2 linked regions of the Schizosaccharomyces pombe genome follow. Each later gene encodes a partner of the first gene's protein in a complex. Each region holds a gene or a part of one and is shown on either strand. Other genes may lie near its edges.

Region 1 (4,958 bases):
ATCATTTTTTATTATTTACATCTGTTTCCGCTTTGTTTATGCAATCATATTGTGAGTGTTATTTGTCCTTGCTCCGTAATCCTTTATATGGGATAGTAGACGGGACAGCTCCCATCTACTCAACCACCTCATATCACCGAGTATAAGCATTTTTGATATGTCGACAGAACAAACTTTTATCGCTGTGAAACCGGACGCAGTTCAGCGAGGACTGATTGGATACATCATCTCAAAATTTGAGTTGAAGGGCTACAAACTACGTGCTCTAAAATTTTTAGTTCCTAGTCGTGATCTTGTGGAAGAACATTATGCCGAACATAAAGGAAAGCCTTTTTATGAGAAACTCGTTGGTTTCATGGCATCAGGCCCTGTATGTGCCATGATATGGGAAGGTAAACAAGCCGTGAAAACTGGTCGCTTAATGTTGGGCGCCAGTAACCCTCTGGATTCTGCCCCTGGCACTATTCGCGGTGATTATGGTATCGACCTTGGTAGAAACGTTTGCCATGGTTCTGATTCCATAGAAAGCGCTAATCGTGAAATTAAACTTTGGTTCCAGCCTTCGGAAATCCAAGTTTACGATCGTACAATTGAACCTTGGATTTACGAATGAATAAGAAGAAGTTAAAGAGCCTCTTCAAAAGGACTCGTGTTTGTTATGGGTGATGCAAACTATCAGCAACACCCAAAGCAAATAAATATGACTAATGATTTTCTACCTTCATTAAAGCACACTATCATTTTTTTTAATAGATATAGGTCTTTTTCAAATATCATTCGTTAGTAAACGACATGAAACTAGAGAAATCGCATGTAAGTCAGTATGGTTTTACTCATCCAAAAGGTTACTTTTATGAAATCTATTGATTCTATACACGTAATGGTAAATATTATGGCATTTTATCGTAATCATGGCATTATAAGGAATAATAAGTCAGCCAAATTTCGTCTACATCGATAGGCAGAACTACCAATGGGAACAGAAGGATGTATGAGATTGTCCGCTAGTTTCGCTATTATATTACAGGTTTGGTCCAACGTAAATAACGGATCATTTTTAATTCCTGAAACGGTCGAAATTTGATATGTATTTTCCATGACATCTGGTAGCTCTTGCTTTTGACAATTGAGCAGCTCTTCATTTAAGAGCTTCTTTATGTCATCAACAAAAAATTCAGATAAACATTTCTGCTTTTGCTTTAAAATAAGTTTCTCTTTTTCCCCTATTACAGATTCATCATCAACATCATTATTAAGCGTTTCAAAAACGCCGTTGAATATAGAATTTTCATCAACTTCAGTAAAAGATTGATATAGTGTTAGGAAAAAATTATGACAGGTGTTGACGAATACATAATGCCCATAATAGAAACGACTAAATCTTTTTGACCATAACGACTTTTTAGCTTCTTCTTGTTGTTTTATTAAATTTTCAAACTCCCCCATTAAACTTTGAAAGTCAAAAGATAAATCCAAAGATTTACCAAGCTTTAAAATTTTGCTTCTAATTAATATTTCCATTTCCACAAGTAAATTGTTTAGAGTTGGAGATTGGTCAAAAACAATACTACCCAATTGGAGAGCAATATTGTCTTTCTCAAGGAAATTGTTAGGAAAATCCTTACAAAGGATTAAAATGTTATATAGAGGCCTGGCTATAGTCATAGAACTGGTAATTTGTGAGGCTTGATTAACCATCCACAATAACATTGCAATAGCAGAAGCTTTATAGAGCTTGAACATTTGTGAAGAGTAATTCCTTGTTGAATATATGAACTCCAATGTTTTAACAAAATCCCACATATTCGTTGCTGATTTTTCGTAAGCGAAACGAAAGCACAATAGTGGATCAACGAATTTTTTTACATGTTGAAAAAATTGAAAAAGAGTACAGTTCTTTGTAGCGTTATAAACTTCTGTTTCGAGTTTAATAAGCTCTTGGTGTGTGTTTTTTAAACAACTTAAGAGATGTGGTTTTATTTGAGGATAAATGAAGACAACAGAGAGAAACGGCTCATTCTTGGTACTTTGGTCATCACTTTTAAAAAACGAATCGCTAGGAGATGTTAGTTTTTGTCGAAAAAATTCCAAGTTAGAACCGTAATCGGCAAGTTCTGTCATTATACTGCGAAGAATCTCTTCGCTCATGTGATGAAGCTTTGGTAATAAAGAAAGTCGTGTTTCAATTTTTGAACCATTTTTTAAGAAGAAAAAACTTGGATAACCTATCAACATATATATAGAGTCGCGAATAATACTTCTTTCAGATATTCGGACAGTTTCGTTCAAACTAGAATCCCAAAACATAAAGGGTTTTATCTGTAAAAAATCTAAATTCGGTTGCTTGCTTTTTTTAAATAAAGTACATAGCTTATTGTTAGACGCGTTGTCAGACTCCTCGATGATAGGGATGTGGATGTTGGCTGGTATCGTAATTTCATTAGCATTTCCATTGAAAGTTTCTTCCTCAGAGTCTTCTGTTATGGTTTCATCATCAGGCATTGAAGACCAGTCAGGCATCAACCAGTGGTCTCCTTCACAACTAGTTAATAACTGGATTATAGCTTCTTGTTCATTCTTGTTGCAATCTTTGTAGACGGGAATTTGTGGGACATGTATATCTGAGGGTGGTTTAGATAATTCAAGGAAAAGTTTTAATATTTGGGCATGCAATATACTTTGCTTGACACTAACGGTTTGACGATTGAGAACTTCACAAGCGTTTCGTAAAGGCATTTCTAAATCTTCCCGACCTTGTATACCCATTTTGTCACAGATGCTAGATCAAGTTAGTCTTAACATTCCAACAACAATCGGCAGATCTGCTTTACGTTACCCTTTTATATGTTCTATCATTTCATGAAATACCAATGTCGAACTAGGGACATTTTGAATGATTTTCTTTGAATGTTTTAACCATTCACTAGCAACTAATGAATCATTATGTATTAGTTCCCTTAAGAGATGCTGTAGGATTTGATCCGCACGAGACATTGTCATTTACAGTTCTTGATAAAACATTTATTAAGCTTTGCCTGTATTCTCATATGTTCTTTATTATGTGCTGATATTGCTAAAATGCCGATTAAGGAGTGTATATTTCGTATACTATCGCGAATGAAGGAAAATTTTTGTTTGACATGAGAGAAATGAGTTGAGTCAATTTATGACTGAAGGGGGTTAATCATTATTTGCCGTTAAGCTGTGTAAGTCATTTATAATAGTAATAAAAAAAAAACTAATATATTTTGTTTTAAACGTATTTACTGTTATTAGATTAACCGGCGCCGCTCCCTAACTGAAATAGTAAGAAAACTTCAAAATAAATAATGAATTCCGTATGCTCACTTGCAATGACTACAAGTTATACAGAGAAATTTACCAACCTTACACAACTGTAGTACTGTTATTAGAACGTATATTTTCTTACTAATTTATACCCATTTTTCATAAGTTGTGCATTAGTATTACCATGGTTTTTTAATATAAAATATTAAACAAATGGACTTTTAATCTTTGGAAAAAAAGATTCAGAACATTATATTGAAGAAAAGATTTTGGCTCTGATTTTTTTAATTATATTATCACACCATCAAGTTTGACCTTAAGATACCACGAAGTTAACAAATCTATACTTAGTAGAGGTTTAGCTAAAAAGTTTAGAACATGTAAAGACGTCGATAAATCTTGATTAAGGAATGGGAAAAAGGATTCACTGGATAAAAGGTAGTAATCGAATATAGACAAGGATGTAAAGCTAACGGACAATTAAGTACTTTCAAAATTCACAAAATCGTCGCCCGTAAGTCACTCCAACTATTAATTGGTAATTCTAAATGCAACGTTAAGCAGAACAAAGAAAAAAAAGGCACTTGTAGACTTTAGGGCTCAATATCAAGTTATAAGTAAGAGCAAAATCGGGTAATTAAAAACCATAAGAGGTACCACGAAAACATTATTTTTCATTGTTTAAACCTGAAGAAATAGGATACAGATTAGTAACTATATTATTGCATTTAACCTCGGCAATAGAAGCGTTACTTTTTGAGAGACGCTTTAAGTCCGCATTTTTAGAAGATTCTGATGAGTTACCTTTTGTTGCAGCTGCAGCCTTAGCTTTCATTTTGAGAGCAGCATTTTTCTTGTAAGTGTTATGGTAAAAGACGATAAACAAAACAAGGTATGAAGAGATTGTTGCGAGACCACAGAACGCCGCTAAAGGATGTCCTGAGCAATGGCCCATACAGGCTTTGTAAAACTTCAACCGATACGCAACCTCCGTGTATACTGCGAAATAAATAAAACCTAAATCAGCAAAGAACTGAACGATCTGAAAGCGGGTGACCCATTTCTTCCAAGGAACCCGAATACCTTTGGCTACAAGATAGTAGTAATAATACATAGTAACATGAACCAATAAATTGATTTCAATGATCAACCAACTGATGGAAGTTCTGCCAACAATTTGAGTATATACAAGAACGGCAGTGGCACCATGATGGTAGCAATGAAGGAATTGAAGGGGTTTTTTGCGGAGGACAAGGAAAAAAGTATCTGTCAATTCAAGCTAAAACGTATGTTAGAATGAAAAAAGTATGGTCAAAAAACGATGGAGACGTACGAATTTTGAAATATAAGCACAGTAGTATAAAAATACCAGCGGTTGAGTCCATGCTTTCTCATTGCAGATAGAAAAGAAAAAACCGTGCTTGTAAATAGCAGGGGCTACTTGTTCAAAAATCAAAAGTGCAAGGATAGCTGAAGCGATGGAAAAAGTCAAATTATAATATTGGAAAATCTTTTGAAGACGGATAGGTTGCCTATTACGCATAATTCTACCTCCGACAAGAATTAAAAGATAGTAAGATATGATGATGGTTGCAACGACCGGGGCGGACGAAAAGCGGGTTTTGTTTACGATAAATTCAAAGGAAGATGGCCGCTTTCCGAATGTGGCA
Region 2 (5,747 bases), on another chromosome or scaffold:
GCTTAAAATGTTTCATTCGGTTCGAAATGCTCTTTTATATTCCGTTCCTTGTTATCTTCCCCTTTATTTCATCTTAACTTACTTATCGTGTCCATTTGTAATCTGTAAAGTATATTTGCTAGTTTCTAATTATTTCTTTCTCCCTCTCTCTGTTTCTCTTGTTTCCTCTTACATGGTGGGGGATTGATAATTTTGGGCAATCCACTGTGAGATAAGTTTTCGTTTTTCTTACTCCTTGATGCGATAATTCTAAAGTCATATGATTCCTTTGCCTCACACCCAGCTATCGCCCCCATACTTAATCATACAATCTGTACTCACTTTTCATAGTAACTCTATCCTTTCGTAATAACCATCCTACACTAATCTAAATTGACGTTTTCCTTCGATATTACAATTTTTGTATGCGCTTTACTAGCTTACCTGTTCCTTTGTTTACGCATCCATTAAACTTTTAACTGCAAAATACAATTACTAGAAATTCATTACGAGTGCACACAAATGAATAGTTTTGCGTATACAATACTATAACCACCTAAATTAAACCTTGGTTTGGTTTTTATATACATACATCATCATCATTACTGTCGTAGCAACTGTACTTCTTCACATAACAAAGTTCATTACTATAGCTGTCTATGGTACAAACGTTAGCATACATTGTATCACTTCAAAATCAATCGATAGCTCTTTAGACTAGGAACAAATGCTTAGCCTCTCTCTTCGTTCTTCCTCAATCACGCGGCATACTGCCGACTTGCCTTAAATTTAGCGACATAGCTAATAAAAAATTAGCGATCAAAAATCCAAGTTACCATTCCTCAGGCATTATCAGCAAACCCTGTTTCAGACATTTTAAAAAATCGATTATTTTTTATATAACACAAGTGTTGGCATATTAAACGCTCGCCATGCCTTTCTCCATAATCATTCTTAAATTCATGGCCAATGGCAGTCGTCTTTTTGTCAATTTTTAACCGAATAGTGCAGTACGCTTTTAGTGTGACAACTGGCCAAAAAAAAGTCCAAACTACTGAAAATGGACCAATGTATACTGCGGATAAGCAATGCTTGTTTATGAAGATAATTGGCCATTCCGCAAGATCCTCACTCCAAGTCATTTCTTTATTAACGAGTACAAGCAACAAGATGTCAAAGATAAGGTTATCCAAAAACCGACTATATAAATATCCATAAAAGTTTTTCTCCCAATTTCCATTGCTGTTTGTCAGATGTTTCTTCATATCTCAATAAAACAATAGTAACGTTGTTCCATTTGTAGTTTTTCTACCTTGCCTTGTTTTATCTTGTCTCTTCTTAGTTATCCCGTCAATTTCATTACTAAACTTAAAAGAGCCGCCGTCTCAGTACTTGCAAAGTAGTTACAAGCATTCACTAAGGATTTTAAATGACGACTAAAACTGTCTTCGTACCGGCGTAAAATTTCTTCCATCTTATCCATTCTTCCTTCATCAAAGCTTTCTTCGGAATTCTCAAGCAAATATAAGGATCGGGTAAACGTGGAAGTATAAGAGGCAAACATAGCACAAGTATTAAGTAATTTAGATTGTACTTTAAGTAATCGCGAGTTAGTAAGCATGCATTCTTTTAGACACGTATCCAAAAAATCGATATGCTCCTGCATTAAATTATCCACAGTTCGGGCGTTCTCAAGTTCTCCCATAAATTTCCCCCAATGTGTTTCAATCACCTCACTTGTAGTATAGTAGATTATTTTTTGAACAAAACTAAGCATTCGTGTCCTTAATAACCAGCTGTTCCTTTTCCATTGTTCGATTTTCGCATTGGAGGAATTGAGACGCCAAGCACTATTCTTGCTGTGCTGCACCCAACTATTCTCAAGTTGCATTTCAACGTGACGAAGTAAAAGAAAATATCTGAACAAAAGTTGATATCGAATAATAGCTTTGCGGGATAAAATAAGTGAAAGGGGAAATGGAACTTTATAGCATAGTTGCATCGTTTCAAATCCATTAATATCTTTATCGCTACCAACTTTTGAAGTCCCCTGTGTGCTCCGATTGTGTTCACTCTCAAAATTTCGAGTTTCATTGCCCACATCCGCTTGCTTCGTGATTGATTCATTCCAAACTTCGTTTCCCTGAGATGATGTTCCTTCTTCCAAACCACTGATACTTACAATATGCATGAGCCAGTCTATTAATGATGTTTGATTCACTTCTACAGTCACGTATTCTTTATGTGGATCAGTCGCAGTTATCGTACCAGGCTGACGAAGGGCTAAATCTAATTGCGACTGCAACTTCGTGATAGATATATACTTTGCAGGTTTTCGTAGCTCGTGTTGAGCATTGTCAAGAAATGTTGTAAAAAAGTCAGATTGATCAAGGAAAAAATAATGTTTGAGCGAGTACAGATGAGCGTAAAGAGACTGTGAAGACTGGAGTAATTGCAAGAGAGATTCATTTGCATAAACATAGGCATTCATGATATTTAAAGTAAAGTTATCATCATCGAAGGTTGAAGGCCAGAGCAACTGGTTTTGAGTATCGTCTTTTGCATTTAACGAAGCCAGGTTATTAACTCCCTTCCTACACTCTAAAACGACGTTCAAATACTTGCCTGCAAAGAGTACCTTGTTTTGTAAATCAAGCAATTGTGGAGGAACTTGATCCTCTCGAATCACGTATCGTTTTTCCCAATATTCATCTGTGTAGTCTTCATCAAGTTGCATAGATGTGATTCCTTTGTGTATTTTTATCATAAATTCATCATATGGGTCATTTACGAGCCCGAGATGGATCCACTCATTCAACATTTTTGTATAAGGGCGTGAAGCTTCGCGCAATAAATAGGTTAGGATTTTTCGTGCCACAGGATCACCCGCATATTTCGTAAGACTTTCGGTCAAAAAAGAAATGACTTGCCCACCTTTACAAACCTTTTTCTTAGACCTAGTGGCATTAACAACATGTGAAATGTCATTTCCTTCATTAAGTTGCTCTAAAAGATCGTCGATGTTACTAAGACCTAAATCATCGCTGCTGGAAGCATTCTTTTCCATAGACAAAAGCAGGTCACGTAGAATTAAATACACTTGTCGTAATGAACGCGATGTGGGAAGAGTATAAAGGCGAAGAGTTTGAAGAGAAAAATTTGGATCAATTCGGCTCTGATTTTCACACTGCATGATAAGTACCACGTAGTCCATCACAAACTTTCGCAAAGCAGCGCACAATGCGTGGTTAACAAATCCGTATTCAAAATGGCTTCTCGATTCTATAAAAGCTGTGATACTTAAATAATGAGACCCCATCTCTAACATCTCAGAAGCAATATCCTTTATACCTAAATCAAATCCAGGAAGAATATAAAACGATGGCGGCATAATAATGGTTTCAAACTCAGAGGATGCTTTCATGTCTTGGAGATGTACAAATACACCCTCCATGCCCATAAATGCATTTAAGAGTTCGTTTATGAGACATGCTTCCTGCTGATGGATATTTAAGTTCGAAGGATCGCTAAAAGTCTTCCCATCGTAAAGATAATTTAATTGAATCCTATCAGAAAATGGAGAAACACCTTCACTCTTCAAAGAGACATGATAAACGCTCCCTTCCTCGAGAGCTGGAATTGGACTCCCATTCTCGCTTTCTTCTTTAGCAAGCACCGAACTAATCGATCTCACCATTTAAAGAGTCTTTTTTTATATAATCTACAAAAGTGTGAACATTTATTTAATATTTAGTGCTCTTTGTAATTATTATTCGGATATGCTTGTTTACCAGCAGGCCAGTTTTAAGATGTAGGTTGGTAAGTATGCGCCAGCTAACAATCAACGCAATTTCAAAGCAAACCAACTCAGGTCCGTGTAGCATTAAAAAATGCAAAAAAGTATAAAAAAAATTAGTCAAAAAATACATAACTAGAAGACTGCAGCATTTTCTATTGTAAGACTACCGTAAACTCAAAGGACCCCAAATACTCATTCGAGTATATATGGATAGCAGTAGACAGTGACAAATTCTATATGCTAGAGTTTATTTTGAATGGATAAAAATTTTAGATCCTAAGCTTGAGGGATTTATTCCCTTCATCTTTTTTTTTTTTTTTTTTTTTTTTTTTTTGTTGTGTTTAAATTTTTTATTCTAATGCAGACTACTTCGCTTTATTTACTAGCCAGTAGGTAATATTTGCATAATAAAAGCAATAAATTTAGCTCGGTTTTATGTTAATTATACATTTACTTGTTATTTCTTTAACAAAATAAATTTTTTCAAAAATACATATAAGCATCAATGATTTATTTACAGATAAAATGCTTTTCTAGGGAAGCAAGGATTTTGTAGTCGCATGAAGCTGGTGGTGAAATCACAAACATTACATCTATCAAAGTGTATATTGGTTGTAAAATCTCGAGTTCATCTTTTAAAAAAATAAATACAAAAAAAAAATTTATTGGTAAATGCACATACATTAAATTACTACCTCAATGCTTTATGAACATGAAAAATCCATACACCTAATCACAGGCATTCATCTGCTATACACTTATTCCGACGACCTCTTTGTTACTATATAATATTATGATTAGGAATTTTTTAGCGATATATCAATAAAATGGTTTAGCGAGATATACAAGCACTTTTCACTTTTAGCTTAAGCTTCATTGTGGCTTTTGCTCGTTTTACATCATGTCAGGTTACAGGAGGTAACGACCTGCATTGATACCTTGAGCATGTAGGAAACTGAATATCCAACAAAGAAAGAGCATAATAGCTACAGTCTTGAGCCCACCCCTTTAATATCAAATTATAACGTGTAAAATGGTATGAATAACTTTTTTAATTAATCAAAAGCATTCTTTTGTATGAAAATACTAATTATGATTCATAGACTGGTGTTCATGAAGGGACTGTGTTGGTTACTGGCGGCGCTGGTTATATAGGTTCTCATACGGTACGTAGAGAGCTTGAAGATACAGAAGAGGATTAGTAATGTACATGTAAATGTTTTAAGCACGCATCTTTTGTGAATATAGCTTGCTGCTCTTTACTTTTATACAATTTCGTCCATATTCTATAAAGCTCTTTTTTGAGATATTTTGCTAACCACAATCTGCAATAGTGCGTTGTTTTGTTAGAAAAAGGATATGATGTTGTAATTGTCGATAATTTATGCAATTCTCGCGTTGAAGCCGTGCACCGCATTGAAAAACTCACTGGGAAAAAAGTCATATTCCACCAGGTGGATTTGCTTGATGAGCCAGCTTTGGACAAGGTCTTCGCAAATCAAAACATATCTGCTGTCATTCATTTTGCTGGTCTCAAAGCAGTTGGTGAATCTGTACAGGTTCCTTTGAGTTATTACAAAAATAACATTTCCGGTACCATTAATTTAATAGAGTGCATGAAGAAGTATAATGTACGTGACTTCGTCTTTTCTTCATCTGCTACCGTGTATGGCGATCCTACTAGACCTGGTGGTACCATTCCTATTCCAGAGTCATGCCCTCGTGAAGGTACAAGCCCATATGGTCGCACAAAGCTTTTCATTGAAAATATCATTGAGGATGAGACCAAGGTGAACAAATCGCTTAATGCAGCTTTATTACGCTATTTTAATCCCGGAGGTGCTCATCCCTCTGGTGAACTCGGTGAAGATCCTCTTGGCATCCCTAATAACTTGCTTCCTTATATCGCGCAAGTTGCTGTAGGAAGATTGGATCATTTGAATGTATTTGGCGACGATTATCCCACATC

What was found.
Region 2: mod21 (region 1) and alp4 share a complex: the UniProt entries of both Schizosaccharomyces pombe proteins name them as parts of the gamma-tubulin complex.

What each region holds. Positions count from the first base shown.
Region 1 is NC_003424.3:247,771-252,728, forward strand, and holds mod21 (gamma tubulin complex GCP5 subunit Mod21), read right to left. Parts: upstream 3,157-4,958; 5' UTR 3,001-3,156; coding exon 2,837-3,000; exon of another isoform or gene 2,780-2,836; coding exon 910-2,779; 3' UTR 809-909; downstream 1-808. Other genes in the region: nucleoside diphosphate kinase Ndk1, read left to right, coding at 158-613; fatty acid elongase Elo1, read right to left, coding at 3,956-4,567, 4,622-4,958. UniProt on the Schizosaccharomyces pombe protein: Component of the gamma-tubulin complex that is required for the regulation of both interphase microtubule organization and nucleation, and mitotic bipolar spindles. Required for correct septation.
Region 2 is NC_003423.3:2,521,990-2,527,736, reverse strand, and holds alp4 (gamma tubulin complex GCP2 subunit Alp4), read right to left. Parts: upstream 3,677-5,747; coding exon 1,322-3,676; 3' UTR 603-1,321; downstream 1-602. Other genes in the region: UDP-glucose 4-epimerase Uge1, read left to right, coding at 4,812-4,814, 4,882-4,944, 5,113-5,747. UniProt on the Schizosaccharomyces pombe protein: Component of the gamma tubule complex that is required for the regulation of both interphase microtubules and mitotic bipolar spindles.